2 linked regions of the Styela clava genome follow. The protein of the gene in region 2 interacts with the protein of the main gene of each other region in a biochemical or structural test. Links are inferred from orthologs where the notes say so. Each region holds a gene or a part of one and is shown on either strand. Other genes may lie near its edges. The genes, in order: nuclear migration protein nudC-like and platelet-activating factor acetylhydrolase IB subunit beta-like.

The links.
Region 1: the proteins of platelet-activating factor acetylhydrolase IB subunit beta-like (region 2) and nuclear migration protein nudC-like form a complex in vitro, tested with the Homo sapiens proteins (3 studies listed by BioGRID). The link is inferred for Styela clava from reciprocal best matches to the Homo sapiens genes PAFAH1B1 and NUDC.

The regions. Positions count from the first base shown.
Region 1 is NC_135264.1:10,089,981-10,105,697, forward strand, and holds nuclear migration protein nudC-like, read left to right. Parts: upstream 1-7,641; 5' UTR 7,642-7,766; coding exon 7,767-8,777; 3' UTR 8,778-9,069; downstream 9,070-15,717. Other genes in the region: transmembrane protein 231-like, read right to left, coding at 1-172; small ribosomal subunit protein uS15m-like, read left to right, coding at 6,322-7,038; myosin-7-like, read left to right, coding at 10,830-10,926, 11,133-11,239, 11,738-11,881, 11,980-12,136, 12,476-12,503, 12,605-12,707, 12,959-13,051, 13,134-13,197 and 8 more. UniProt on the Homo sapiens protein: Plays a role in neurogenesis and neuronal migration. Necessary for correct formation of mitotic spindles and chromosome separation during mitosis. Necessary for cytokinesis and cell proliferation.
Region 2 is NC_135250.1:20,620,709-20,637,929, reverse strand, and holds the start of platelet-activating factor acetylhydrolase IB subunit beta-like, read right to left. Parts: upstream 7,669-17,221; 5' UTR 7,487-7,668; coding exon 7,455-7,486; intron 5,985-7,454; coding exon 5,906-5,984; intron 5,590-5,905; coding exon 5,515-5,589; intron 5,054-5,514; coding exon 4,847-5,053; intron 3,801-4,846; coding exon 3,704-3,800; intron 3,091-3,703; coding exon 3,019-3,090; intron 541-3,018; coding exon 438-540; intron 1-437. Other genes in the region: phosphatidylinositol-3,5-bisphosphate 3-phosphatase MTMR14-like, read left to right, coding at 16,436-17,221. UniProt on the Homo sapiens protein: Regulatory subunit (beta subunit) of the cytosolic type I platelet-activating factor (PAF) acetylhydrolase (PAF-AH (I)), an enzyme that catalyzes the hydrolyze of the acetyl group at the sn-2 position of PAF and its analogs and participates in PAF inactivation.

The sequences.
Region 1 (15,717 bases), on a different chromosome or scaffold from region 2:
GTTCTTGATATGTGTTTGTTGTAATCCAAAATCCTTGGCTTCTGTATGCAATTAGCAGAGGTGGTATGAAAGTTAAAACTAACACTGCCAGGACATAGAAGGAAGCTTTCGACCAAACACTCGACTTGTATCGATACAATGCAGGTAATGAGTAGATCTCAAACACGGCCATCTTGAATCTAAGAAAAATAAACAAGAAATAGCTGATGAAAATAAAAAAATCATTACAGAATCAGAAAAGCGAATAAAGTTGTATGTACGGAAGTAAGGTTTAAAACATACAGAATTTTAACAGAATGGTGTCGCTGGAGGTAAACTGGGGGTTCAGGGATCCCCGGGGGTCCGTGACAACTGCACAGGGTACGAAACGATACGAAAAAAGTCTGATAGATATTTAATGATTGATTTCAATCAAAGAGCAATTGCAAATTTTTGGTTGAGCGTTGCGGACGAATATCCATTGCTGTCAGAAAAGGCAATTAAAATTTTATTGCCTTTTGCAACGTCCTACATGCGTGAGGCAGCATTTTCAACTCTTATAAATATGATGACAAAATACAGGTCAAGACCTAGAATCGAAAAATTTTGCAGTGGAAAGCAATCTAATCCATCACATTAATGTCATTTGTGTTATAAATGGAAATTGATACATAGCGCGTATCCATCAAAATTAAGATTCTCGAATAGGGGTCCGCAGCCCAAAAAATTTGGGAAACTCTGATTTATATATTATGCAAAAATAAAAAGAATATATTTGCCACTCCCACACCTATATCTGTATATCAATGATTTCTGATTTTTTTTTTAAATTTCTCAATCATTGACTACCAAATCAATAAACACAAGTAAACAGAAAAAATGATATTTATCAAAAATATCGCCAAGCTAATTATTGTTAAAGTTTACTTCATCCAAATTGCCCAGACAGAATTGCCAAAGGTGGCAAGATCACCTTTCACTTAAACATATTTTAAACTTACCAGTGATCTTAGGAGTAATGTAGAAGTCAGGTACCAATCTTGGATGTCAATTTAACTACCGTATATCACTAACATTTTACTAAATTTAAGAGAAACTGAGAAAGCCCACAACAAAGTTTTATTTTATAATTGGCTAACCGCTTGAAATAATGTACACAAATGCAAAAACGGGGAAATTTTAATCACGTGGGGCTAGTAGAGAGTCAGAAGTAAAAAAGATGTTAGGTAACACAGGTATAAATGAACGATTTTTAACTACATTATTTCAAAACACATAAATGAAATTTTAAAAATTATTCAAATTTATGACATCGTTTTACATTTTAAAATTGGTAATGTGTTTGACGCAGAGTGGCAAGCAGTTGATGAACAGTACCGGATAATAAGTTTAATAAGTATAAGTTTATTTCGACTCCATAATCAGCAAAACAATAAAATGAATGCTAAAAATAAATAAATAAAAACTGATTATGAAATCAGGAGAGCGAACAAAACCTTAGATAAGGTTTAAAACGTACAGAATGTATATAAGATGGAAGGTTTTGCCAAGAAGATGTGGTACGTGTTCACTCACCTAAAATAATTGAAATATTTCACACACGCTCACACGCACCCACACACACAACCATATAGAAGTTATTAAGTAAAGGGAACATGAAAAATTACATACTGGTAGTTAATAAAAAATAAATAAATAAAAATTACTTGCCACACCATATTAATAAATTTATCATGATTGCCACTGCCAAATTGATCAATTTTATAAATGGGAGTGAACAGTAAAGATAAACTTTTATAAAAAAATATATTGTCAAGCTGATTATAGATGGAGTCAAATGCCAAAATGCCCAACCAAAGTTGCCAGAATTGGGTGCATGAAGAGGTGGGCTAGACCACTTCATTGCCCAAACTAGAGCCTATTATTGCCAAATTGTAGTCCAGATTGCAATAAGTATTTAAATCTATCAGTAACTTTATAAGTATGAGTAATTATAATTAATTAAGGTAGAAAGACAGGGTATAGGAATATGTTGGTTGCTAAGGTTATAAGGTTTTTTTTTTCATTCTTAGATATTGACTTCTGCAAGGATAAAGGAATTAGGAATAAAGGAATTAGTATTGTTATTTCACAGGATCATTTCTTCATTTAATTATTATGGCGTAATAGGTTCAAGTTTATCGTGGATGAGACATCAGCCTGCGAATTTTGTTGTTGTAGACACCATTTATATTCAATAAACTAGCCATTGTATTGATCATCACAGAACGACCTGAAAAACAGAAAACAAATCTGCGAGTAGGATATTCAAGGGTTACATATTTGGAAACAGCACTACCCTACACTTTTGTTTAGAATTAATTATTATTTCGAGTAGATATTGATTATTAGTTATCTATCTATAAAACGCTAGTTCAAAGACCAGAGTTGAAATATGGTTGGGACACAGGGTGAATTCCTCGCAAACCATGCAGAAACTCTCAAACCACACTGACCATTCGTATGTTGGCCTTCACATCAACTTCACAGCAGAACCTCAACCTAGGATAAAATTTTGTATACACACAAAACAAATCATAGAATACCACAACAAATTAAAATGAAGGGGAGAATCCAATATATCTCCACTGGTCGCCTAATTACAATAATAGGTACAGGAGCTAAACTATACGGTCTACAACCCTCATAAGGTATCACACCACCCATATAGAAACAAAGATCATGCATGTGTAATGTCAAAAATCCAACGTTAAGCAAAAAGGGAACATGCGCATGCAGATGTCAGAGTGTAAACAGCCATTTGAAAAATAAATAAATAAAATAATTTGCTGTGCATGCTACAGAACCCGACACACCAACAATAGATGTAGAACAGGTGGAGAGAGATTAACTGCCGGCTCAACAACAATCAGCAGCTGCAGGAGCAATAGCAATATTGTAGCTGTTTAATATTTTCATGAAAATAAGTATGTGCAAGTGAAGAGTGTCCCAACTTTCTATCATGGTCATTCATGAAGGTTCAATATTTTTTGTGTCCGAGCTATCAAAACGTTGTAGCTAATTTCATACGAAAGAGTATATATATCAGTGTGGTTATGGGAAAATAACTTTTAATATTTGGATACCAAGTACGACTTAACTTGTTTCTGAAATGATTTTTTGGATTTTAATGACTTCAAATTCAAGGGGAGAGAGTTCCATAGCTTAGGTCCATTATAGCATAGGGCATGCTGGCTCACAGATTTACTCATAAACGGTATAAATAAATTGGAATTACTTCTTCGATTGGAGGTGGTTTTGGTTAGTATGTCGTCAAAGCAGTTTGACAATGAGTTGTCATGAAAATCATAAACTAATGATAATACTTCAAATTTCATTATGTCTTCAACCTTGAGTATATTTAGCGATTTATAGAAATGATTTACGCTTTCACGTTTACTTTTCCTAAAGACAATTCTTAAAAAATTATTACAAATGCTTTGCAATTTCGAGACAAGTGTTTTATTACCATGGAGCCAGACTGAGCTACAATATCGGATATGACTTAGTAGTAGAGATTGAAACATTGCTAGTAAAGCTGATTGATTAACGCACTGGGATACTTTAGCAGCAACTGCCAAGTTCCTTTTTGTTTCACCAATAACATGCAACATTTGTGATTTCCATGATAGATTTTCATCAAAGATAACTCCTAGAAATTTTATTTCTTTCACTCTTTCAATTTCATTGTCATTGAGCAGTAGTGGTTTTGAACTACTCACACTTTTATGCTTGCTTGGGTGGAATAATACAAATTTAGTTTTGTTAGCATTAAGAGATAATTTGTTAACCAACATCTAGCTATGAATGTTGGTTAGTTCTTGGTTTGCAACTGTGAGTAGATCTTCAAGGTTTTTCCCATGAAGAATCAAGTCAGTGTCATCAGCAAACATGATCGACTCAGAGGATTTCAGACACCTGGACATGTCATTAATGTAAGCTAGAAAAAATAATGGGCCAAGTAAAGATCCTTGTGGAACTCCGTGCTTCATGACACAAATATTTGTAGAGAATGAGTTGTCATATTGCACAATTTGTTTCCTGTCTTGCAGGTAGCTCCTGATCCAATTGAATGGGACGCCTCTAATTCCATAGTGATAGAGCTTACTTAAAAGGATGGAATGGTCAATGGTGTCGAAAGCTTTTGAAATATCAAGAAATATTCCAATTGCATGTTGTTTGCTTTCAAAGGCCTTGGTCAGTTTGTGTACCAAAACATTAGCAGCCATAGCAGTGGAGTGATGCTTGCGGAAACCAAATTGATGAGAGTGGAAAACATTGTTAGTTTCAAAGAAGTTTGACATTCTACTATACATTATTTTCTCAAGAATCTTAGAAAATGATGGTAAAAGACTAATAGGTCTATAATTTCCAAGATCTGAAACACTACCCTTTTTAAATAGAGGAAGAACTTTAGATGTCTTGAAGCTTTCAATGAATAACCCACTAGATAGTGAAAGATTAAATATATATGTCAGGATGTCAATGATATGTTCTGGAACGTGTTTCAATACTTTGAATGGAATACCGTCAATTCCAAAACTTGACTTGGGCTTCATTTCGCGTATAATATTTTTTATTTCTAATGATGTAGTTGGCCTTAAAAACATGGATGAGGATTCTTGCTTTCCAAGATATGAAATGTAATTTTTGTCACAGCCAGCTGGTTGTGGCATACAGTCGAGCAGGGTTTGTGCCACTTGGGAAAAGTGTTCATTAAATTTATTTGCAATTTGTGTATTACTGCAATCGAGTCCAATCAAAGGACAAGAACCTGTTTTATTTTTACCAATAAGTTCATTAATTGTTTTCCATACTGCCTTGATGTTACCTTTGTGAGAGGCAAATTTAGATTTGATGGATATGTGGTAACATCGTTTTTTGAATGCAATGCGTAATTTTTTATAATTCGCTTATTCAATTAATAAAAACGGCATGGCAATGTAATGAGAGGGACGAATAAAATTTCTCTGATTTGCGCAATATTGTTTTTACGGTCTGTGGCCAACCGGAAGAAACTCCATACACCACCAAACAGCTTTGCCAATGCATCATGCTGGCAGCGATTTCGAAAATCGACGTTTCGTGGTCTGTTCAGCACATAGGATAGGATAGGATAGGATTTACATATTTATCCCGGGGGAGAGGAAAGCCGACAAGACGGCTTATCCATATGGCGAACCACGGCCTCTCGTCCGGTTACCATTCCAAGTCGGGTATGGGATTAGTTTTACTGTATTGTTTGTTTTCGGAAGCATGGACTTGGTGGTGGAGGAAGCCGTAACCGACCAGCGGTTACGTGAACCACCCAACGACGGCGAGGAGTCCAGCAATCCTCTCGCACATAACCATCCCTGCATGGGATTCGAACCTGCGAACCCACGCAGAGTAATTAGAGGTGCGGTGGCGAGCGTATTCCTAACGCTTAGCCCGTTGAGCCACACCGCCGCGCCACATTACAGCATTAAGGTGTATCCAGCACTTTCTTTCTTTTATTTATTTTAAATTTATTATTTGTTCATAATCAAAATGTTTTGCATACTAATAATGATGTTGGGGTTGATATTTACCGAAATTTCCAATGTGTGGATAAGTACCGGCGGTGTACTGCTGGCGCGGCGGTGTGGCTCAACGGGCTAAGCGTTAGGAATACGCTCGCCACCGCACCTCTAATTGCTCTGCGTGGGTTCGCAGGTTCGAATCCCATGCAGGGATGGTTATGTGCGAGAGGATTGCTGGACTCCTCGCCGTCGTTGGGTGGTTCACGTAACCGCTGGTCGGTTACGGCTTCCTCCACCACCAAGTCCATGTTCCGAAAAACAAACAATACAGTAAAGACTAATCCCATACCGGTACCCGACTTGGAATGGTAACCGGACGAGAGGCCGTGGTTCGCCATATGGATAAGCCGTCTTATCGGCTTTCCTCTCCCCCGGGATAAATATGTAAATCCTATCCTATCCTACCGGTACCGCACCGGTTGAGTGAAAAAATTTTGAAGGTTTACTGGGGTCTCCCTAAAACCAGGCACTTGCGAATCCTGGAACTTTGATATATTTTTTATTTTTACTGTACGGTACCGGTCCTGAAATTTAACCGTTCCGCAAGCCAACAAGCAAAAAAAGGGTGAAAACCACTGGTCTAGGTGGCCATACAGCCATATTTTGCGGCGGAGAAACTAAAATGATTGATTGATTGAAAAATATACTGGTAGGTGTTTTGTTTGTGTTTTACAAATTATTTTCTGATTTTTTCAATGCAGTGTTGTGCTAGATCAGGTGACAGTTTAACAGCCTAATAACCATGTTACAGTCATTAAGAGTGACGGTTACTAATCAGATTCCTCTGACTATTCTCAAAGTCACAACAAATTCATGCATTTCATGTCGAACCAGGCGTTCAGCAAAACAAGTTAATAACGATATTCCAGAAGAAAGAAGACGCATAAGTCAACTTGATGACTTGGATGAGACAATGCTACGGCCACAATATAGACATATCGAAGCACTGAAAACCGCCCCGGAAAATGTGCGTAAAATTTTTACCCTAGAGTTTGGTACAAAAGAGGAAAAGTTGGAATCAAAATTTCTTCAATATGGTGAACAATTGCAAAGACACAAATATGACTTTGATTCGCTTGAAATGGAAATCGCTGGTCTAACCATCACAATTCGTAAAGACCAAGAGGAGTATGTGAAACGAGAATATTTAAGTGGATATCTTGAAAAAAAATTACAAAGAAAAAGAAAACTCAGGAACGACTTGTTGCTAAAACTGAGACAAATGAATTTTGAACGATATTGTCTTGTTGTAAAAGTTTTAGATATAAATCTAATACATTGGCCTGATTATGATGTTAAATTAACGAAGCGTGCTGAGGAAACCATGGATATGAAATTCCGGACTTTCGCTGAAATCGAGCGGGAAAAGCATGAAAGTGCTAAACGCAGAGATGAAGTAGCAAAACTCCAAGCAAAATTTGAAGAGAAAATTAAATCAGGAGAATTAGTTATACCATGATATACCTACTCTTGTAATCCTTGGTTAATCATAAATCAACCACTTCCTGGCTTTAAAGACATGATAGAGTTTTATTCAACTTTGAGCCATTCATTAACTTTAGGTGGAGTAGAATAGGAAAATTTGAGCTCAGGTTATGGATTAAAAATTTTAACTCAGACTCCAGCTATACTTTCCAAAACATAATTGCTTGACCTCTGCTTTCTGACCCTAATATTCAGTTTAAGAAACTATTCAAGTGATCCGACCTCTGCTTTCTGACCCTAATATTCAGTTTAAGAAACTATTCAAGTGATCCGATTACAATAATTGGTGTAATAAAGATGAGATAATTGAAACAATAATAATGTTGTTTGTGGTATTTTCACATTGTCAAGTTGCACTGGGTGTGCTGGATGTCTTCGTAATATGAAATATGTAATTCTCCATTTATTTGAAAAATGCAAAACTGTTAGTTCATTATCTATTTGACATTCTATGTTAGAGACTTCATGCCTCCATCATTCAAGCGGTCAATGCCTAGAGGTTTGACCAGAAATAGTGCAGTCTTTTTAAACTCAATAAACATAAAATTTATTTTAATTTTTTAGATAAATATTTAGCCCCTTTACAACTGATGAATATTGGTTCATCACCTTTGAATTGCTTCTCTGGCTTTCTTATTTTTCTAATATGATTCGTTTCTTAATATTTCAGACTTATTAAAGAGTAAAATTTTAAAAAACACTATGGCACAACTCACCAAACAAGAAGAAGATTGGGATGGTTTGTTAATGCACATTGCAACACAGCACCAAGGTGGTGTTCACCAACTACTAGACACATTTTTTGCGTTTTTGAGACGAAAAACAGACTTTTTTGTCGGAGGAGAGCCAGGAGATGCGGAGAAAGCTGTAATCACTGCGATGGAGAGACAACAAAAAATAGCACTCAGTAACAAAACGAAAAAGGAAGAAAAAAAAGTGAAAGAACTGAAAAGGAAAGAAGAGGAAGAAAAAAAGAAGCAAAGACAAAAGGAAATAGAGGAAAGCAAAATAGTTGAAGTTACGGAAGAAGAAGCACGACAAATACAAGAATCAGCGAAGAAAAAAGAAAAGGAGAATTCAGTAAATGTCAATAGTAAAATGGAAAACGGGGACTCTGCTGAAAAAGAGGTAAAAGAAGAAACCAAGAAAGACAATGAAGAAGAAGAAGAGGATGAAGCTGATAAAGGAAAACTTCGACCGAACGCTGGCAATGGTGCTGATTTACCAAATTATTCTTGGACACAGAGTTTACAAGAGTTGGAACTAAAAGTGCCATTCAATGTGAATTTTCCTGTGCGATCGAAAGATGTTGTTTGTGAAATCGAACGCAAACATTTGAAAGTTGGTCTAAAAGGTCATCCTCCTATCATTGATGGCGAATCGTATGCGGAAATTAAAGTTGATGAATCATATTGGACAATAACAGACAGAAAAGCACTCCTTGTTAATATTGAAAAAGTTGATAAGATGAGCTGGTGGAGTCGACTTGTGACCTCTGACCCTGAAATCAATACACGAAAAGTCAACCCTGAGAATTCCAAGTTGAGTGATCTTGATGGGGAAACAAGAGGAATGGTAGAAAAGATGATGTTCGATCAACGTCAAAAAGAAATGGGTCTTCCGACATCGGAAGAACAAAAGAAGCAAGACATGTTGAAAAAATTTATGGCGCAACATCCGGAAATGGACTTTTCGAAAGCTAAATTTTCATGATTTAACCCTAAATCCATATGATGAACCTGGTATCCTCATAAATGCAACAGATGGTTAGATAACCCTAATCATATTCACATGAAATTTGTGATTTATACTTTGCAATGTATTATTTTGTAACTGTATGATATTTTACATTCCATTGTTGAATGAATAATCATACATAATCTGTAATTTAATTGCACAAATGCTGTCAAACTGAATATGATAGAACTGTTGCATATGTTGATGATTGGTCTCAAGTTTTGAGAGAATGAAAAGTTTGTTATTAAATGCTTCATTTTTTTATTCACATTTTTCTGGTCATTCTTCTTACTACTGCGGGTTAATTCAGAATTTTTAACTGTATATCAAGTGGAAATGTTGAGTTTTCAGACATATGACAATTTCAATGCCGTCAATGGGTTTTTGTTTGTTTGGATAAAGTAGTCCAAGACAGGTAAATTCATTTTAAACTGCAATGTGAGTGCACCAATAACGACGAGAAGTCGATCACATTCAACCTTTGTAATATTAGAGTAGTTTAAATTAAGAGCCCTAGGAGAAGTATTTTAAGATTAAGTGCCATTGGTTATTTCTAATAAAATTTTAGTATACACAAATGACATATTACAGCTACTTGGAAGTTCATCAAATTATACTCCGATGCAGGTGTTACTAGGATATTGGGTGTAGTTTAGTACCACGTGTACTTCAGATCGTGCCACAACCATTTTTGTTTGTTATTCCTAACCCCACCTGACTACGTCATCCGAAAATTACGTCACTACGATTTCACGATACGATAGAGCTTGCCAAAGTATCGCTGACTTACAATCGCCACAAATGGAATCTGCGCCGACGATAACGAATTATCTCATATCGGGGTCGATACGACGAGAGAAATAGATGGTCATCGGCTCGTTTTGGACGATAATCCGTATATTTTTGCGGGCCCTAGTATGTCGCAGTGACGTAATGTGGTACTTAACTACACCAGACCAAACCCAGACGTGTACGAACCGTTGAATTACAGGTTTTCCATTTTTCTTATTCAGTTCGGATCGATATGTGGACGTTAAGTTAGCACAAGGATGCTTGAACGCAGGAATTAGGATGACGAAGATCCTGTTTTGTTTGCACAAATTAGACTATAACATAAACGGAAGAATACAGATATCTTGTGGAGAGAAGTTTTTTGAGTTATTTTTGATTATACTCAGATGATGTTGTTTTATCATCGCATTTTTGTTACACTTCCGTCTCATTTCTTCATTCCTTGTAGCCAGTTTATCGCTCCGGTTGTATTGTATGTGTGACTGCCCGATGGAGACAGAAGACTACACCTCTAGTCCACCTCCATGTACAATTAGAATATCGCTCAACGGAAGGTGCGACAAAACATCTCAGCTGTCTGACACCTCGTAAAACAGTTGTCGAAATGTTACTTCGTGCTAAATGGAATCGCAGGTAAGGAGCGAGAAGACTATCTTAAATAATAAAGTATCTCGTGTTCAGAATATTATTCACATGTGTGTGTCTTGTGAGTAAGAAGTCTAATAAGCGTCGTAAAATGTACTAGGATTTGTTGCGAAATATTTTTAGCAATACCAGAAAGGGCAGTCCTCTTCAAACGCGACAGGAACTATGTATATAAAAAAGTCGAAAACAGCATAAAAATATTTCTTTAGCTTCATGATATCATTAATCTATTATTCATTTTAGAATGTTTTGCTTTTGGTGTTTTTTTGGTTTTTATTCAATTATATTTTCAAGTACAATCCCAGTAATAAGGAATAGTAAGGCACGTGCGCAACGGATACTATTAATACAGAGAAACAAACAACTATATATATATATATATATATGTATTTCGCCAAGATGTAGATGAAATAATGTGTTGTTGCCGTCAGAACTTCGATTGCCTTGTTTATGTTTGAAATAGACTCGGCCTGCTTTCGATTGCTTCGAGTTTGTTTTCAGTTTACTGTTAATCTTAAAATTTCCATTGCAGTTTATCGAATATTTCGAGCAACATTTCAGTCTAGTAAACCTAATCAGGAACTTATCAACATGGCAACTTTGGACCTTTCTATGTTTCAAGATGCAGCACCGTACCTTCGCATGTCCCAGCAGGAATTATTGGAATTGCAAACTCAAAAACCCGACGGTAAGCGCAAAATATTTTGGTGTAGCCATTTTTGGATGGTGTATTTACACGATTGAGAAGTGCTGAAAATTGCAGCTGGCATTTCTTAACTCTTGATGAAAGAAATCAATTGAAGTCGTTTAGGCAGATAACAAAGCAATTTTGTTTCCGGAAGGGGCGTGTATTGAATTTAGAAATTTAGATTAATATTCTGTTTATTTTTACAGGTAAGAAATACGCTTGGGTTCCCGCCGAGAATGACAGTTATTTGAGAGGAGAAGTTCTTTCAATTGAAGGTGGAAAATGCAAGCTAAAATCTTTAGACGGCGAAAAGGTTTGTACACAGATTAATGAATAAAGAAATTAAAAAAAAATTATCATTGTCAAGTTTTGTAATATATATATATATCCAATGTTGGCAATATTGAATGATCATTGGTCAAAATATAATTTTCGTCCTAATTCTCTTAGCACGAATCGACATATTCTTCCGATGCAAATTTCATATATAGCAACCTTTTTCATAACAAATGCGAAGATTTGCAAATAGCATGCTAAATGACATCCTACGTAGTGGCTTCATCGGTTTTAAACAATTCAAGCTTCAATGCTGAGAAAATTTGATTTTGATTTGAAAGCAGCAACGACTATTTTCTTTAAATATTCTAACTTTTTTATGCATTCATGCGAAATCAACGCTATTCGACATTGGGTTCCATCGAACTTGAACCGGCAATTCCAATACTGATCTCTGATGATATAGAATTTTACAAGAATTAATTTCTTTACATTCCATATTGTTAAATAACTTCTTATATTTGTTTGTATACAGGAAGTCACATTGAAAGAAGAAGACCTTCAGCAAATGAATCCCCCTCGGTACAACAAATGCGAAGACATGGTTAACATGACCCATCTCAATGAAGCTTCTGTACTGAATAACTTGAAAGATCGTTATGAAGCATTCATGATTTACGTATGTATTTATGATATCAGAGTAGGCCTAGTTATCTTTTTCCGTTAGTTTGGAATAGCTACTAAAGATTTTATCAATCTACTTTTACTTTTTTTCAGACGTACTCCGGTCTTTTCTGCGTCACTGTCAACCCGTACAAGATGTTGCCAGTGTACGCACCCTACGTCATCCAAGCCTACAAAGGAAAGAGGCGAACTGAAATGCCTCCTCACTTGTACTCTATTGCTGACAATGCATACACCGAAATGTTGATGAGTGAGTTTAAAATTTGATAAAAATAACCTTTATAACGTTAATAAAAATAACGTTTATACGAAAACTTGAAAAATTTCTCTTCATGCATTTGCTAATGAGTGAATTTGAACTGATACCTTTCATTGCTGATTGCTTAATTAAATAGTTAAAATGTCAATTTTAGGGGGCTGGACGATTTTCTGTGCCCATGTGCGGACGCTTTACTTAGACAGCATGCTATACCAAATATCGTCCTACACTCTACAAGTCAATAAGTCGCTTCACATGAAATTATTTTGTGTTGTTGATTTGTCTATTTTAGAAATGATTTTTACTAATAAACGTTTTCATCATTTTTAGATCGCGAGAATCAGTCTATGTTGATCACGTAAGTTTGTTTTTTATAAAATCAATTATCAAATATCAATGTCTTATCAGTTGTTTTCAAAACTAAATATTCAATTCGAATGTTTTTTATTTTATTTTCAGTGGTGAATCTGGTGCAGGAAAGACTGTCAATACCAAGAAAGTCATCCAATACTTTGCTTTGGTTGCTGCTACTGCAGAGTCCATGAACCAGAATAGTGATAAGGTGGGCTGGGCTGTAATATTGAGTTACAATTAAATATAAACATAGATTCTATCGGACTAAAGGGATTCTCATCTAGTTTTCGATTTGTGTTCTCGTCTCCTGGTTTAGATTGATAGATTAGTTCACTAGATATGGAGTTATGTTTCAACTATTTGCCTTGTAGCATTTTTAATCGTATCAATGTTGTTGTATGTCTTTAACCATTTTTTTGGTCGTTACAATTTGTGTTTTAATCTTCCGCTTTCCTTCAGGGCACTCTCGAAGATCAAATTGTTCAATGTAACCCCGCTATGGAAGCTTTCGGTAACGCCAAAACAGTAAGAAACGACAACTCATCCAGATTCGTAAGTTTTACATTTGTTATAATTTTATGGTGCAATAAGTTTGATTAATGAAAATTTCAATATATCAACTTGTTTTGTTCAGGGTAAATTCATTCGAATTCATTTTGGAAGCAGTGGAAGTTTGGCCTCGGCTGATATTGAGCATTGTAAGTACAATTTTCCCACCCCATTTAATTACTGAAGATCCTATTGAAAGTAAATATTAATAAATTAATCCATTTTAGACCTGCTCGAAAAATCCCGTGTCATCTGGCAACAAGGTGGCGAACGTAATTACCATATTTTCTACCAAATCATCTCCGGATCAAAACCAGAACTTTTAGGTGAGTTTTAAAAATTTGCAACTCTCGAAGAAGAAGTTTTTATTCATTTCATGACGCATTGTATTCAATTAATATAATTTTATTTTATAGACCAACTTCTAGTGACAAAAGACCCATACGATTACAAGAGTATCAGCCAGGGTGTGGTAAAAGTTGACAACTTGGATGACGGCGAAGAACTTTTGTTGACCGATGTGAGTCTTCCTCATTTATCATTTCCTAATTTTTAATTCTCCTCTTTTCACCTTCATTTGAACTGGGTCCAATGAAAACTTGATCCTCTTTACATTGTCCTATTCCTTTCCTTTATCATCATCATAATTTTGTTCTTACTCTTATTCTCTTCTGAATCGTTGCTTTCTATTCTCTCTCTTTTTCTCTATCTTTCATCTTTTTCTCTTTTATTGAGAAAAGCAGATTTTCTCTCGAATTTTTCATTCTCTTTTTTCATCTCTTTTATCTCGTTTCTCTCACACTTTAACGTTCTTATCTTTACTCTCTCGTATTTAATTACGTTCTTCTTTTAACTTCTCACTGTTTCGCTAACAGGAAGCTTTCAAGATTCTTGGTTTCACTCCCGAAGAAATTAGCGGTATTTACCGATTGATGGCTGGTATTATGCACCAACAAAACATGAAATTTAAGAACAAACAACGCGAAGAACAAGCTGAAGCCGATGGAACCGAAGGTACGAATAAGTAACGTTATTTTGGACATAGCGAGTAGATTATGTTACGTTAACATGTATGGTATTGCACAGTACAACAAACGCTTTTTACTTTTCAGATGCTGATAAGGTCGCTTATCTTTTCGGTCTCAACTCTGCCGACCTATTGAAATATCTCTGCCACCCACGCGTCAAAGTTGGAAACGAATACGTCACCAAAGGACAAACCTGTCCACAGGTACGGGGTCTGACAACATTGTACATTGTATTATCTAACGGTTCACAACGGAGTCTTATTTTATTGCACATTGTATTAGTATTTTAATGATCCGTTTTAAAACTACTCAAATTTACTACTCTACCACTCTACAAAACTACTCTAACTGGCAACACTTTTATTATAATAATTCACAAATAAAATTTTATTATTATATTGTAATAGTAACATGGAATATTATCTAAATGTTTCTATTTTTGAAACGTGAAAATGGTATCTGAGTACATATCTTACCAAATTTTATATTACAGGTCGCCCATTCCATTGGTGGTCTCAGCAAAGGAATTTTCGAGAAGCATTTCAACTGGTTGGTCAAGATTATCAACAACAGTCTGAGCACAAAGCTGCCAAGAAGTTATTTCATTGGTGTCCTTGATATTGCCGGTTTTGAAATTTTCGAGGTATTTCGAATTTTACTTAGTCATAATACTGATTTTAATTATGTGGAATGATAAAACTTATGGAATTTTCGAAATCTTACCAATATCATTTTTTATCCATTTGTTTTCAGTTCAACAGTTTTGAACAACTCTGCATCAACTTTACCAACGAAAAATTGCAACAATTTTTCAACCATCACATGTTTGTTCTTGAGCAAGAAGAATACAAGAAGGAAGGAATTGATTGGGTTTTCATTGATTTCGGAATGGACTTGGCCGCTTGTATTGAACTGATTGAAAAGGTATGTTATTATTGTGCCTATCGCATTCTAGTTGGCCCGTTCTGAATAGGCTTCAGCTGACTGCGCAAATTTATTGCTTCACCATATCTAGCATGAAATCAATTTACAAAAAAACTTAACTCCATATTGAAAACTAACCACGTAGTATAACTTGTTTCGATATCACACGACTCGCCAGATCTTATTTTAGCGATTTAAAATATGCCTCCAATCGATATCTTTTTCTATTTATCACTACAGCCACTTGGTATTATGTCCATCCTTGAAGAAGAATGCATGTTCCCCAAAGCTACTGATCAATCCTTCTGTGAAAAACTTTACCAAAACCATTTGGGAAAGACGAAAAGCTTCGGCAAACCCGTAAAGAAAGGAAAGTTCGAGTCACATTTTGAACTTCATCACTACGCCGGAACGGTAAGTTATCTCATAATTTTGTAAAAATAACGAAACGGCTTATTAATAAATAAGAGAGCAATGCTCATATATATGGACACGAAAGCATATGCATATGCAACGGACCGGAAAGGTCTCGACTAATTTATTAGTTGTAGAGAAAAACCACATTTTCCCAACAACAAAAACAGAAATTACCGCACAACAACAATTTAGCATAACATATTCCACTTCGTATACGTTTAAAATTTTCCTCATTTACTTTAGGTCGGATACAGTATTACTGACTGGCTTGAAAAGAACAAGGAACCTTTGAACGCCAGT
Region 2 (17,221 bases):
ATGATGTCCACAAATAATCGAATATTTCAATACATTCAAAATGAATTATGTTCTATGTACCGGTAGTTAATTTTTAATTTTAAGAAGAATCTAAAACAGTGGTTCTTTAATTAATGATGGGGCAGAGACAACTTTTTTGAGAGGGCGCGGCTTAAAAAGTTTGAGAACCAATGATCTGGAATATTTCTATGTGGAAAGATATAATTCTATTCAAATATGTCCATCCCCGAGTTTGGAACAGTTTTGAATAATATACCATCAAATGCAAAATAATGAGGTTTCACAATTCTCCAAGCCACACAAAATAAATTTTCAGATGTACCCAAGAATAGTCCCAATTCAGATTATCAAGGTTCAGTTGTATTTAGTTTTTGCTTCAATTTTGAATCGTTATAGAAAGAAAATGTTGAAATTTAAAGTGTTTTTTCAATCCATACCCTGTAGCAACCTCCCATAGTTTCATTGTTTTGTCTCTACTTGCTGATATCAAGTGATCCCCGTTTGGCATAAACGTAACTGATGAAACATTATGATCATGTCCTGCAATAGAAATTACAATTATGTTACATTTATTATCCCTACTACACTATCAGAAAGAATTAACCTGATATAGTGAAAGAATGTAGGATGTTATTATTTGGAAGATGTCATTTTTCTTAATAACTGATAAGTTAAATTTTTTATTTTCCATATTATGAAATTCAAGTCAATATATAACAATTCTAGAAAATCACCTAACTGAATTGTTTCGATTAAAAAAAACAAAAATATTTATTCAGGATATTTATTGAGTTGAATTTTATATATCATATTTTATATCATAAACTGCACTGTAATTTGAATTAGTTTCTGATCTACCCACAACTCAGAAAGAATATAAAAGCTTGAAGGTTGTCTTGTATCCATATAATACAAGGTTTTCCATTTGTTTATATAATATTATAATATAATCGAAATAAATTTACTTTCATATTATCATTCATAATAAGCACAAAAACCATTGCTACAATAATATTTTAATTCGAAAAGGCACAATGCTATCCATTATCGAATATACACAAACAAAAGGATTGAAAGCCCTTACTTCCAAAGCAAACTAATGGTCTAACAAGGTCAAAAAGGTTACTCTTATCTAGGAAAGACAATATTTCAATGACATCCAAGTTACTTGGCTTATTTATGCACAGGTTCTGATGATTAAAATACAAATACTAGAACCTGTGGACATGTTTATATCCAAATAGTTCAGTACTTTGAAGAGCTATATATAGCCCACGGTGACCGTACATTTGAACCCATGTGTATATCCGTGGGTTCAATCTATATGCGGGTGCTAAAACCCGTGGGTTAGGGTTAGTTTGGGTTCAAATATTCGTAAAACAAAAAAAATCCATAGGTGCAATAGTATGCCGGTGCAATTGTCGTGGGTTCAAATGTAATGGAACCCTAGCCTGCTACATAAAAAACATAACATTTTTGTTAATAACTGCAGTGCAAAACCAATAAATTTTATATAAAATAGCAATTTCATCTGTAAGAATTAATGGAAATTTTTTTGGTTTGTATTTTGTTTGAACTGAACTCCTTGGAATCCTCAGATAAACGTCAATTTTTACTTTTTAAACAATATAACTTGTTCTTCTAGAAATCCACCATTTTTAAATGTTATAAATCACAAATTATGTTACCCAACAGTATTTTCCTGATTTGGTTTGGAAAAATTCATATGTTACCTAGAAATTTCCGTAAGAATTAAATACATAAATGTGAAGTGGAAATTCAGTGAAATCAGTCCATTTGAATTGGAAACTAAAATTATTTGCCTTACAATATTCCAGAGTACCTTATAATATTTTACATAAAATTTTAACGTTTTTATTATTCTGAATTGATCTTTCATGCACAGTAATTATGATTCGAAATTGATTTTTATATATTTTCATAATTTTATTAACAAAGTCTTAATTTGAAAAATAATTTTTAAATAGGAATTATTATGAAGATCCTAAACACTGATCTTGTTTCATGCAAACAATATTCCTAACGTTAGTTGCGTCACCTTTTATTCTTTATGCAAGAAACAACTCTTTTCACATAAATAATTTAAACTAACGGTGGGAGTGTTTTCAGCAGGCATATAGTGCAGGCAAATTCTACTATAGTCTATAACACTTTCAAATGGTATCTCTTTCAAACACCAATTCACGATGTAGGTATGCATATGATTATACATTTATTAAAGGTACTACGTGGAAAAAAGATTTTCAAAGTGTAAGCATAATTTGAAGAATATCGGGGCCGGCCAAGGCTCAAATATTGAAACTATTTATAAATCTTGGATATTGATTACATAATATAGTAGTAAGTCATGTTTGGAGGAGAAAAGAAGTGGAATATATATATGACTAGACATAAGTCTGACTGCATATCTGATTTTAAATATACCATTTGCCAATTTCAATTCATGATACAATTGTTAAATTACAACACAGTATTAAAGCATTTTGTACGCCCCCTTTAATTTGAGACTATATTGTGAAAATTTCTCACAGAACAGATTAAGAGAAATCTTATTACTGACCCAAATCCGCAGTCAGTTCTGAAAATTAGTAAATCTCACTTCTCGCATTGATTCATAAATTGATTGATGTCAGTCATCAAATAATACATCAGTCGCATTGACATTATTTTATTCATGAATATTAACTGAAAGCAAGTGGCATCTAATGTATTTCTTTACGAATCTTTAATTTGGGATATTATACTAAATGTAAGAATATAATATGGTCTTTTAAAAACAGTACATAGTTTTTTTCAATGCGGCGTTTTGCGAAAAGGATTTTCGGACTTTGCCCAACTCCGTGTGTGAACTGTAACAACTTCAAATGACTTCAACTTTATAACCAATATTCAACCAAATCCTAAATGTATTTGAATACATAATTAGTTTCAAATATATCACATCATGATAGTATCTAAAAAAACTGAAAAATTTATTAACTTCCACTGATGTCTTACCATGTAAAGTTTTTGTACATTCATAAGCGTCAAAGTCCCAAATCTTGATTGTCATATCAGCAGAGCAAGATGCTAAAATACAAACAAAATGATTTGTATCAAGGTAATTTGTATTATAAGGAAGGCATGAATTTAAAAGGATGTATGTACATAAGCCAAATTTAAAAAAAAATAAAGGATTTGAAATTGCTAGTATTATAAAGCGCTAATACTAATACATACATACAGAGGAATTCTGAAACAAATGTTAGGTAGACACACACGAAAAGTCACCTCAGTAAAAAAAATTAAATTTTAATGCTTGATGAATTTCTTTATATTCATTTATATTCAAATTTTGGAAAGTTGATATGACCAACGTACAAGAATTAAAGGCTGTCAACCTCTTTTGATGTGAAATGTGAGTATTCGAGCAAGGTGGAAATAGATTACTAAAAGTAAAATCTAGATACATTGAGTCCAAATGTTGGATACAAATGATATTCCAACAGATTGTATATTTCAATTTTGATACAGTCTGAACAACGCCAACTATTGCACTCAAATAAACGTGACAAACCACTCATAGGTTTTCTAAATTGTAAATGATGTGAAGAGCAGAGCAAACCATTGTGTAAACTGACCTACTGGGGGTAAGACGATCTTTGTTTTTGGTGAATCAAGTCATATCAAAATTGATACTAACCTAAAAGTTTTCCTGAACTGTCAAAACTAACATCTTGAACAGAATCTGTGTGTCCTTTCAATGTTTTTTCAAAATCACCGTTTTCATAATCCCATACCTGAATAAATATAATCAAAAATTCAAATGAGATTGCAATAAAACTGATTGAAAATTAAGAAGGTCAACTTTACTTTTAGATTTTACTTTGATGGCATGTCAGGTGAAAATGTTGGGTTAAAAACCCATGCCCACCATCTCACCCAGAGTGTAAAATTAGAAAAGCAATGCAAAAATGGAAAGATTCTGGTCCCTCAATCTATGGTAGCTCCTTACCTAGCACATAAGAATGTATATATGAGGAAATTCAGACATCTGTTGAAATGTTAGGTATGGTAATTATAAAAACTCCTACTGATTTTGCTTAGAGAAGAAATCTGATAGAAATTATGAGAATACTTTTTTGTGGATGAAATAAATGAATTCAAAGACAAATAGTATTTGCTAAATATAACCATGAAGACAAAAATTGGAACTAAGGATATCCGAAACAAATTGAATATATTTGAAATTAGTGAGATTCAATATAATAAATACATGCGTGAGCTTAATGAATGGTTAGAAAATACATATTTAAATTTTATTTTTATTTTAGGCATTTGACATTTGATGCTCAGACGTAAATAGACTTAAACCTCCCTTCACTGGAAAACCTTTATCAATGTGAGCAGTGCTTATTCTAAATATTCTGTATAGACTGTATTACCTAATTCAATTTCAATAAATTCACACATTTCTGTAAATTTGATTTCTGCAAATTTCTCTGTTGAACATGATCCAACAATAAAGAATATATTCAAAATTCAAGAATATTATTATATATATTATTTGGGATAATAAACTATTAGATTTTGCCATTCATGATAATTCACTTTCGTTATGATTATTAAACAAGAGAATCAACTACAAAAGTAGCAATAATTTAATAATGTGCTTTTGATTTGGTTTCTGCGGGACTAACTACTCATCCTTCTTCTATGCTCAGGTATGCATATAATACTTCCTCAGCACTTGGAACGAAACGTTACAGAAATATATCTGTGATAGTAAGCAGCAAGACTTAATCACTAGAAAAAATTAAACAAATATTGAAAACTTTTAGCTGACCTTTATTGTGGTGTCCTCAGAAGCAGATACAAATACTGAATACACAGGATGAAAAACTACTCTCGTAATCGGTGTTCGATGTCCGCTTAATGAGTGACGTTCCGGTGGTCGTGGTATCCATTCTGCCGGATCTTTTCTATCTCTTGGGACAATTCCATCTCTACTTTCATTTTTTAATTCATTCAATTTGGATTCCAAATCCATGACCTGAATATAAGAACATTTTAAAGATTAAGATATTAAAATAGAACTTGAAATTATACGGCAATGAAAAAATCTGCAACATCAACACAGTATGTGATTAAATGCGGCCACAATTGCTCATCATCAAAACTATAATGAGAATTCAAAAATATTAAACAATACTAGGGATATCCAAAGCAAGATCCAAATACCAGTAGATTCGAATTTAGGATTACCGGTGATAATATTGTTCTTTGAGATATGTTTCTTTTAAGTATTGGGCAATATTATTATTAAATTAACCAATCAACACTATTTTTATCTCTATCTTTCTGTATTTTAATGTCAAATTATATGAATAATGACTTGAAAACAGTGAACTCACTGTTGTGTGGAAGATCCTATCTGATATTCCATATTGAAAATTATTTTGCTAAATAGATTCTGAATCCTAAATCATTATTTTGGTCTTTCTTGATTATTACCTTTCTCTGTAAACGAACAACAGATGTCCATTTCTTTTCCATGAGTCCTTCATATTTCTTGTCAATATTTTCAGACTATAAAAAAAAAATAGCTCATGATTCAAAGGCCAACTAGCAATACCAAATCATAATGAGATGATCCACACTGGGACTAAGAAACAAACCTATACAATCAAACAACTAATTAGATAAGACTTATCAAGTTTTGTTTACCTTTTCCAGTTCCTCTGACCCATTGGTAGCAATATTCATTACTACATTACTGCAATACTATTACTTTAAATCCATGCACTGGGACTTCAAAATTCGAATGATCATGTGGAAAACTCATGTTATCAAGGATACTTTTTAATTATCTATATTATAAAATATTGAAAATAAGAAAACTTACCAAGTTGGCTTCCATTCGGAAGGCATTGAAGGCTTTATCATACCCATTTGATCGGAGATATTCTGATATGGCATTGTTTCTGAAAATATAATTATTTGTGTAATTGAAGCGAGAGTGAATGTATCGCACAAATGTCAGAATGTTACCACAGACAGAACGTAACAAGGATTAAAAATGTTACAGCCATTTTTATGCAAATTCAAGTTTATTTATTTTAGTAGATCATTAGATCTATTATTAGATCAAAATTACTATACTGGGATTTTAAGACTAAAACAGTTGAAACGTATCGAAGCAAGAAGTACAGAAGTATGTCAGATACCGTAAAACCGGCTAACTTCGGATGCCTTGTAACTTCGGATGAAATTTTCAATCATTCATATCTCAACTAAATTTCGTCGTATTGCGCTTCTGTCGGTTTCTATAGTAAGGCCTTACATATCTGAATCTGCCGTAGCCTCCAATCGCTCGATTTGATTTTTTATCATTCAAAAAATCATATTTTACCAAAAAAATGACACCGTTTTTTCAAGCGGCTCAAATCGTGACTTCTACAGACGCTACTTTCGTCAAATCACCGCCAAGCGCTAGAGAGCGTACACAATGTATACAAAAAAATACAGTGATCACAAGGTGTCGTACGAGATTCGAGTGAAATCGATTATTTTGATTTAAAAATTACATCAAAATATCGACGTTTTGATGATTACGTACAGCGTGACGTCAACGACGCAAATCCCTTTCTCTCTCTTCGTAGCCGACGTCACTTTGCGTAGCTCGTGCGTTACTCGCTGCGACATTTGAACGCCAGACATCGCGGCAGTTTTGTGAAATTTAAAAATTATGCTTATCCATGATCCTAGTCACTATATCCTACAAAAACATCACTATCGTCTCAGTCATATGTTGTTTATTTAAAAATATGGGTATGCATACGCTTAATGCATATGAAATTTGTCGATTTTTGTTTTTGCATACTTCCTCCGACACCGATAGATACCGTATGCAATAAATTAGGAGTAGTTAGTGAAATATATACGAGTTATAATAAAGGACACAAGAATAAATAGTTAAGTTTCGCGAAGCGGCAAGAGTAACGTCACGTACAAACGTCAGTATGCAACACGCAAGACGGGTCGTGGCGGCGTAAGGACTATTCAGCGACGTTGTCACGCGTCATTGCTTACGCAGACATTTCTCTCTCACGACGAGTTGACGCAAAGAGAAAAGTGGCCATCCGAAGTTAGATAATTTTAGAATAGACGAATAAAGACAATAATTTCAATGAAAAAAGGCTTTGATGGATATGGAACCGACTTTATCAAGACGAGAATAGCCACAATGTATTATATTCCAAATTTGGCTTAAGTTGAACAACATGCGGCGGAGATATTGTTCAAAATATAGTGAAATCATCCGAAGTTAGCCGGTTTTACGGTACTTCTTTAGCCAGTTGGGTCTGTAGGTTGAAGTCCTGGATCGGAATTAATCATTTGCAATTTTTTGCAGATTTACTCAGGTTATAGAACATGAAATTTCAAGAACTTACAGCTCATCTCGTTGTCTTGATGATAAAACCATTTTCACTGCATGCCGAAAGTTGTCTCGATACTGCAGTATTTTCTTACTTTACTGGCGATCTAACTTTACAGCTTTAAAAACTATCTTTGAATATTCAATTATGATCCATACGAATTATAATTTCTACAGAATTACAATTGCCTAAAGGAATAATAAAGCTTAATCTGCAAATTCAAAATGGCAGATTCTGAGATTATTTAGCAAAACTTTGAAAAAATGTAGCAGCTTAACGCAATAGCAAAGTTTTAGATATGCAAGTTGAATCGTTTGCTCCAAACTACCAACCGTTTTGTTCCAAACATATTACTATCCATGTATGGTTATGTAAGACATATTAATTAAAAATCAAATACGATTCACTTCCAGTTTTCACTAATCCTGTAATCCGATACATTTTACCCTTTAGCCATTCAATTCAACAACCCGTGGATATAAAGATATCACAACTTACTACATCGCAGACTGTTGGGCCAACAGACTGAGATGTGATAACAATTACCAGTCACTTTGATTGAGGATATTCTGACAGCAGTTAACCAAAACTGCAAAATTGTTATTCAATGACATAAAAATGTTACGGTACTGTGTTATGGTAATGACACCAAACTGCCATATAAACTATACCAAAAAATTTCGAGTATCCGCAGTAAATGCAGCTTCAGATTTTGGCTCACTCAGCAATCTGGCAATTGTCGGATTGTTGTCAACGTTATAAACCATACGACAGATTTGTGGTAAACTAAATTATCGTTAAATTCATCTTTTGATACTAAGGTGGCATTATTGAAAATTACTTTTAGCAGTGGATGTCCTCCAGTGGTACTAAACATAATACAGGGCGTGACTCAAGCTGTCGTTGCATTATCGCACAGATACCGTACCCCAGATTAAACCGAAACAAAGCAATCTTTCCAAAAATATAGTGAAAACGACAGTCAATGTGTCACGTGACAAGTCAATCTACACGCTTGATTAAACATGACAAGGGCAATGCCATCTTGATCGGATCATGGACAATGCATGTCATGCAACATTTGAGATCGGACATGCTTCATATTCATATCAAAACTTCTAGCGGTCTTCGTTTTGTCGGCACTCGGCAGGGCGGGCAGGCTACTGAGCCCGAAAGTTTATCAGGCTTAAATTCCTGGTCAAATTAGCCGCCTTGGCGCTGTTTAGTAAGGATTCAATAATAAAAATCCTGATGTTGTTTTATTACAAAAGAAAGTCAGCCATTAGCAGTAAATTCAGTGGTGAGATTCAGCCGGTTCGCACCAACTCAGAACCGGCTGAAAAATATGACTTTTGCGATGGAACCGGCTGACAAATAACTTAAATCCCACCACTGAGTAAATTGTATTGAGGACAAAAACATTCATTCTGGGGAGGGTATATAATTTGGAGGCTATATACATGCAGTTGAAATTACACTTCAATGCACATAATGAAATGTGAAAATGAGATGAATTTTTGATTTCAGATAGCGTTCAATACAGCACCCAGCACATGGACAACATTATTGGACACGTAGTGAACATAACGATCGTTTCAATATTATGTTGTTTATGTTCTTGTTGTTATTTGACACAGAATAACACACCTAGTGGAAATATTAAAAATCCGCTTTTCTCTTCGAATACTGGACCGATTGCTTTGAAATTTTCAGTGGTTGAAGATAAAATTTTTCCCCAGAAGGCTATTACTTTTATTCATTTTAAATATACCTGTTAGCTCTGTGAGATTTTGTTTTTGTTTTCTATGACGTCATTAAACGTTCTGCGTTCATCGGACGCCATTTTGTGTCCTACTGTACTGCTTCGCTTGGTGTGAATATATTTGTAGACTGTGATCTGACGGTACGCTAGTAACGGTACACCGTACTGTACTGCGAACAGACGTGTCCATATATTTGGGCGTAGCTCTCTTGTTTGAATTGTATTTCTCTTGAATTTTAAATATATTTCCCTCCGAAAGGAAAACCTGTGTCGTGAAATAAAACCCAAATTTTTAAGACGGATATCATATTTATGAACATTATTTGAAAGTATAAAATAGTGATTAAAGGCCCTTTTGAAGATCATCTTCATGTCGACGCATAGATTTTGCATTTTTTCATTGAATACATTTCCATCCTCTGCAAAGTTTCATGCTTACAGTAAACTTTCTCTGAAAACGATATGTAGCCCACCTTAAAACTTGATTTTGTAAAACTTACTTAACTGTAATGACGAATTTTGTCGCTGACCCTTACTAAGAATTTTATATTGCAGTCGTGGGTGAAACAAACTATAATAAGGAACCGATTTAAGCGTTTTGAAATTAAAAATGCGTCCCAGCCGTTTGCGATAAATTCTTGACCAGTGGGTTAGTATGGGAATTTTAGCCTAGATTATCATCAATCCTGACACCCACTTATTTTTATACTATCCACTTGTTCAATTTTTATTTCCTAAAAAGAGCTTGAAGCGTCAACATGTTTCTTTTGTAGACATAATTAATTACCTTTAGCTAGGTCGGACTGCTTGTTTACCTTTCATTCGTCGATTGACAGAGTTAAATAAAAGAAAAATAGAATAAAAATAAAACTGCGAAGAAAGGACTCCTGATTCGGGCTGAAATGTTTGAGCCAGTACTTATGCGATAGAAAGAAAAATCTATTATCTTTGACTTGTTATTTACGAATCACCACCATGCATATTGCACTGCTGATACAAGATCTGAAAAAAGCCGCAGCGATCCGTTTTGTGTTTTCAAGTGTATGAGTGACTCGAATTATCAAGAAAACTATACTGTAGTGTATCTGAATTTACAGGTGTACATTGGTTCAAGGCGCTCACTACTGGTATACAATAGCGTGCTGATCAATTCAGTTCAGATGAAACATGAAAGTTTGTTTTTGTAAAAAGTGTACCACATGAAGTGGACACAGAAGCTCAAGATTGGATAGAATCTTATAAACCTCAATGGGTAGAATTCGACTAGCTGATAAACTCGGTGCCTTTAGTGCGGTGGTGTTCAATTGAGATATTTCGATGCTAATAAAACGGGAGTATTCTCCACTCATTTTGGCAAAGATGGACAAAAAGATACATCAAGCTAGGTTGATAAAAAAAATTTCAAGATATTTATTTTGCCATTTTAAGGGACATACAATGGGACTGGAACCACAATCCGTATATTTACCTGGTTTCGCAGAAAGTCGTAGAAAGATGGTGCCAGGACAAAAGCTTTGGACGCTTGGTTGTCAATCAACCCTTTTTCCCCAGTTCAATACTTCAGAAAGTACACAAAACAGATATTATCACGTTCTAACCCAAATCCCATTTTTCGAATTTTAGAAACGTACACTACCAAAATGCGGACGATGAGATAGGATATAAGCAGTGGTGGGATTCAATTTTTTTGTCAGCCGTTCCCTCTCAAATATCATATTTTTCAGAACAAACAGAACATTGACAGTAACCAGTAATGCTAACCGGTTCGCTGATCTCATAAAATTCCGTGAGGCGGTTCTAAGAACTGGTGCGTGCCAACTGAATCCCACCACTGGATATAAGTTGAATTATATTTCGCCCAAGAAACAAAATCAGACCGCAATCGTGCCACTAGTGTTGCAAACCGCCCTTTATTTCAACGGATAATTAAATCGCGTGACAGCGTAACTTTTATGGAAACAATATCTATAAGCGTGGAATTAATAGCACAAACCTCTGTAGTCTATATGGAATTTAACAAAATTATTTACAATGATTTGTTTGTGTTATATGATATGGACCACGATGGGGACTTTCTATGTTAGCCAAGTGAATATACCCCTTCCCATAGGTTTCAAAAGACGAACAAAATTAGTTACCTCCATATTGGTACACACACTTCTGGAGCGCCAATAAACGAATTAAATTGAATTAAAGTCAGGGACGTCGCAGCATGGTAGTAGGCTAGGTGTGGGCCACACTCGACCACAGAAATTATAATTGGGATAAAACATACTAGTCGGCGTGAAACTTTTATTGCGTTCGGTTGGCAAAAACAGGCATCTTCACCGTCATTTTGTGTGACGCTATTCTGGGTCAGTCAATTTATCAGTAGTGTTTCAATAATTGTACATTTATTTATTCAAGTTTTTTTTTACCAGGTTAAGTCTGTCAGTTGCATGCTAAGAAATCAAGTTCCCGCAATTAACTAGTAAAGTAAGTCGCAAATCAGTGGTAAATCGGTTGCCTACCGTGTTTCCCCAAAATAAGACTGGGTCTTAAATTCACTTTTTTTTTTAAATAACACTAAGGCTTATTTTCGGGGGATGTCTTATATTTGCATTCATCAAAAACGAAATTACAAAGTAGAATTACGAGATTTTCATATATACAAAATATGGAAACCGATATTCCTTTACTTATAAATAAAACGTTTTTATTCAAAATAACTGCAAAACATCGATTATTATCAATCATTCAGTTTAAAACGCGTAGAAGAGATATCGACTAGGTCAAAAAAAAAATTCGCGTTATTCACTAGGTCTTATTTTACGGGGAGGACGGTATGTTAGTCGTTGGGGAGGACTTATATTAAAATCATTTTCAAAATTCAGGCTAGGTCTTATTTTCAGGGTAGGTCTTATTTTCGGAGAAACACGGTGCATTGAATAAAAAGAAATTTTTACGACTGGTCCATTGGACGTGACAATGGGATAGCTCGCCAGAAACAGTACTGTCCCGGCTAAACCGGGACGTATGGTAAGCTTAACAAGTAAATGAGCCAAAATTTCGGGATCGTGATTATCCGGGATCTTTGCCCCACTTGCATGTTTTGGTAGGATCGCAAGGTTTTCCTTTCTCAATTTTATATATTATGGCAATTGCTATACTATATCTTACTAAGCAAAAATATATTTAGTCAACATTAATTCAGTTTTATCGCTAATGTAACCTTTACGCCTTTCATGAAAGAAAAAAACATTCCAACGACCTTTGACCAAATCTGTCGGAAGGTTTCGTTATATTTCGGTTGTATTAGTTGATGCAATCGCTATGTATTGCTGTTTGGGATCTCCCCTCGATATGACGTTCCAAACGCGGAAGTCGAATGGGTTGACCGGCTGACTAGCTTTAGCAGCTTGCGGTTGTCGATTGCGAAGTGGGTTTAGTGAATCTTTCATTTCTGACTATCAGCGGGACCGTATCAACAGACGACAACTATTACAGAAAGCAATAAGTTACCGCGTTTTATTGCACGCGAATGAACATATACAGATGTACGGTACGGTAACTATGATATACCGGTAGGCCTAGTTGCATCAGTGCATAGTCTGATACCGGTACGTAGTCCTTTAGTCCCGGAAGTCGAATGACTGAATGGCTACCGTACCGGTACCGTACGGCTAGCTTTATCTCAATGGTAAAGAAGGACCAGATGAGTCTTATTTCAGTATTCTGGTATTTCAGTACCCTATTTGTTACCGTAAAAGTGGCTACTTCGGACAGTTCCAAACTTCGGACAATAATTTTAAACGGCCATAGGGTGGTGTAGCCAGTCTGCGGACGATTTCATTCAAACCGCTATAAAACAAAAACCAATATTTCTAACCCGTTTATTTTTTCACCGTAGGTGCATGGGCATTTCTTCTACATGCTAAACCTCGAATTAACTTTCTACGACCAGGGGTTAAAGCTATACAAACCACCAAAGTGCGACACTCTAAAGACGTATTTGCGACCGAACGACCAGTGTGCAACCACGGATTTCAAGCCTTGAACATCATTTCTGCTGCGTGAGACTAGGGCATACGCAGCCATGCGTAAAAAAAATTAGCTTCTAATTGCATTTCTGACTGTCCTATATTTTAAGAACAAGGTTATTTCGAACAAAACTCGTCAAATTATAAACAAAGCACCGCATTACAGCAATCCAACAAACAAAAACGCGGTGGTCGCAAATTGGTCGACAATGCTATTATCGACGTATTGGAAATGCGCACCCCCCTACTCCCCATCCTTTAAATGTAGAAACGCGAAACTTTAAAGATGGTTAAAAGAAACAGAACTCTACCCACCCGCCAAGTTTCAACTTTTTATCTCTCATATTTGTATGGATTTTCAAGCTTTTTCAAAGGGACAATGGGCAGTTGGCGACAAGGAAAAATGGTCCGTTTTTTTTCTTCGGTCGGGTTTTCGGTCGTAACTTTTTTGTTTGTCGCCGCATTTTAGTGTAATTTCGCAGAGCTACGAAGGATAAGTGGACGAGAACGCGTGAGAAATATCGTCTCGGTTCGTTAATTTTTTCGGCCTTAATTTAATCGATGAAGTTGATGGTCGCAAGTAGGTCTTGGCCGCAAAGTGGGTAAGCCACCCTATACCAGTATACCCTAGGATAGGATTAACATATTTATCTCGGGGGAAAGGAAAGCATGGACTCGGTCTTACTACTTACGTACAGAGCACAGCGCAGAAGAGAGGGAAACATTTTTGTTTTATTAGCGTCCGTGAAATTTTAAACAATTTGATGGGAAACAGAAAACAGTAGTACTGTAGTAGGGAATGATAACGAGTTTATATCAGTAATCTTCAACATCTTTAAATAACCTGACGTGACACAATATGAGCACACCAATGAGCAAAATCAAAAAAATTTTGGAACTCCAGAAGTATGTGCACCAAGATGGCGCACAGCCTGAGCACAGTAGGTATGTGTGCCAGGTTAGGGTGCGTCATGTTGGGTTATTTAAAGATGTTGAAGATAACTGATATAAACTTGTGATCATTCCTTACCACTGTATACTGTTTCCCATCAAATTGTTTAAAATTTCAGGGAAGCAAATAGTATAAATAAGGGAAGAAAAATGTTCCCCTCTCTTCTGCGCTCTATTAAGTAAGTACTGAAGTAGAAAGACCCGCATGGACTATTCCTGATGCAGTGATGCTTAGCATGATGAGCCACACCGTCACGCCAATTTTGACTAAGAAACGTCGTATATTGTCAATTTTAATTATCATTGGTAGCGCTGTTTTATACTGATATACATCTATTCTCAATTTTTTTAATGTTGCATGGGTATTTTTTTGGTAAAAAAACGGAAATTTTGCTGAAAAAAACCGCTCAATACAGTACCGGTATCTCAGCATCTCGTTTCTGTGTTTTATTGCATGCGAGCTAAAACAGAGAAACGCTGTGAGCCCCAGTGCACTCACAGCAGGGAAGGTCAGGTGAATGTCGAGACATCTTAAAATGGGAGGACTGTGATCTGCTGTCTAAATGTCTAGCCCATCTCTTCATGCATCCAACTTGACTTGGCGATTCTGATTGGACAATTTAACCTTAGGCTGTTAGGAGAATAGCCTATAATCCGCATGGCTGCATGGTGCTATCTTTCAATGATTATTTTTTCTTAACATTAGGAGACTAGCCTATAATCCAGATAATCAGCATGGTGCTATCTTTCAATGATCATTTTTCTTTACATGTCTTCACTCCTGTTTACTAATTTCAGAATTCTGTATTCAATTTGGCATTTCTCACAATTATTCATATGGTGTGGCAAAAAAATTACTATACAGCTGTATTTCTCTGTGGTTATAGACTATATATGTGTGTGTATATTAATTCAACACTTTAATGTGAGAGAATACGGACCACTTTTTTAGACGACATCTTTCAATCAAAAATCTGTTTGTGTTAAACCTTACTAAAGTTTTTGTTTGCGCTCCTGATGCTGTAATCTATTTATTTCTATCTATTTGTTTTATCAAATATTTTATCATCTGTTATGATGACTAAATGGTGTCGAATATATATATATATATAACAAAATTACTGATTTGAGCTTTGTCAAAATACAGACAAAATCATGGTAATACAGATTTGCCAATTAAAATTTGCAGACACAGCTGAGATTGCTAAATTTTGGTCCTTGTATTCCAGCCAATTTAGCACCAAACCCTATAAAACTGCTTCATATTAAAAACAACTTCAAATATGCCATTAATCTTCTGACCTTTGTTGGCACACAGTGTCGAATTGCATTCTAATTCCACCCTTAATTTACTTCAAACAAAACACACATGGGGCTGATAAGTGTGGGATTTACGTGCTAAGAGAATATGCTAACTATACCAACAGAGCTATAAAATGTTTAAGATTGTGTCCACTTGAAGAAATTATTTTGTTTCATGCCCATTCAAACCAGTGGTTTTCAACCTGTGGTACTCATTCTAGTGTGGTACGCGGGAGCTTTTTAAGTGGTACGCGAGCAGCTTTGAATTATTGCAACAATTAACTTTTGAGTTGGCTAAAATATGGCAAAAGCAATTTCTCTTAATCTTACCGTACATACTAAATGTATTCGCTGAACGGGTTTATAGGATTGGGTTACCAGGATGCTACTATTGCTACTTGATGTATGTGTTGGATGATCAGCATAATCTTGAGTTTTTGGGGTTAAATAAATTTTGAGACTAGGTTAGGCAGTTCGTGATAGCGGCTAGTGACGACCAAAGTGTATTCGTCCGAGTTTTGCCCTAATTCGATTCGTTTTGCAGTGATTAAAGCATTTCAGCTTTAACGGTTGATGACGCAATTTTGCACGCAATTAATACGTTGTTATTGCATTCAATAAATACTTCGAAACTTGCATGAAGGTCTGTAAAAAAGTGGTGGAGCCACATAAAATACTACCATAGCGTGTTTCTTGTGCCATTGTCCCCACCACAAATGGGGTTTTGTTGGTGGTACGCAGCCAGGTTAAGAAACTCGAAAGTGGTACGCGGCCAGTAAAAGGTTGAGAACCACTGATTTAAACCAATGACTCAATTTGCCCTGAGCTCACATGACAAAAAAACAGAACGACTTTGATTTGACTGAAGTTTTGTTACAGGTCTCCAATGACTCACTTTTACTGTTTCTCATTGACTGTTCTTCATTATTTTATGATACGTTAACCTCTCATATAGCCATGTGATGATAAAATTTCCCTTGTATATTGTTACTTCATTAAGGTATATGATGAACTGTATCTCTTGTTACCTCATCTTTCTTGCCTTAGTCATCTCACCAGAGATGTCAGGCAGTAGAATGAAGCATCATTTATATTATACTGTGTTTCAACTTGTTAAAGTTATTATTTACACAATGTTTTTAATTTACAGTTTGTGTAATACTAGTCTTGTCATGGCGGACAATGAAAGTCGGTTGATTCCTTTGTTATCATTTGCAATATCTGGTAGCAATGAAAATCTACCGGGAAATGGAGATATTGATATGTTGTCAAAAGCTTATGAAACTTGTCATGAACTTATGGAACGAGATTATACTTGTGAAGTTTTGAATAATCCTGATGGTCATTTGTGTAGCACATACCCTGAGAAAATTATCATTCCAGTTAAATCATCAGAAAAGGTTGGAAAGTTATCAGAATATGTACTGAAAGGACGTTTTGCAAGAACGAGGGGGAGGTTTGTTGTTCCTGTGCTTTTACTTGACGGAAAATATATTTGCCGATCTTCGACTCTTGCTAGGTCACCGGAAATATATTGTAGGCAAAGTTATGGGTATTGGGTAAAAGGAGAATCTATGGACATGGACACTGTTGAAAAAGGTGCAAATGAGGAAAAGGCTGTTATTGAAGAAAATCATTTTGAATGTTTGTCTGACAATGGCCTGTATACCAATGGTGTTAATAATGTCTCAGAAAGTCATTCTAATTCTCAAATAATTGATGATTCACCTTCGGAAGATGGTAAGAGC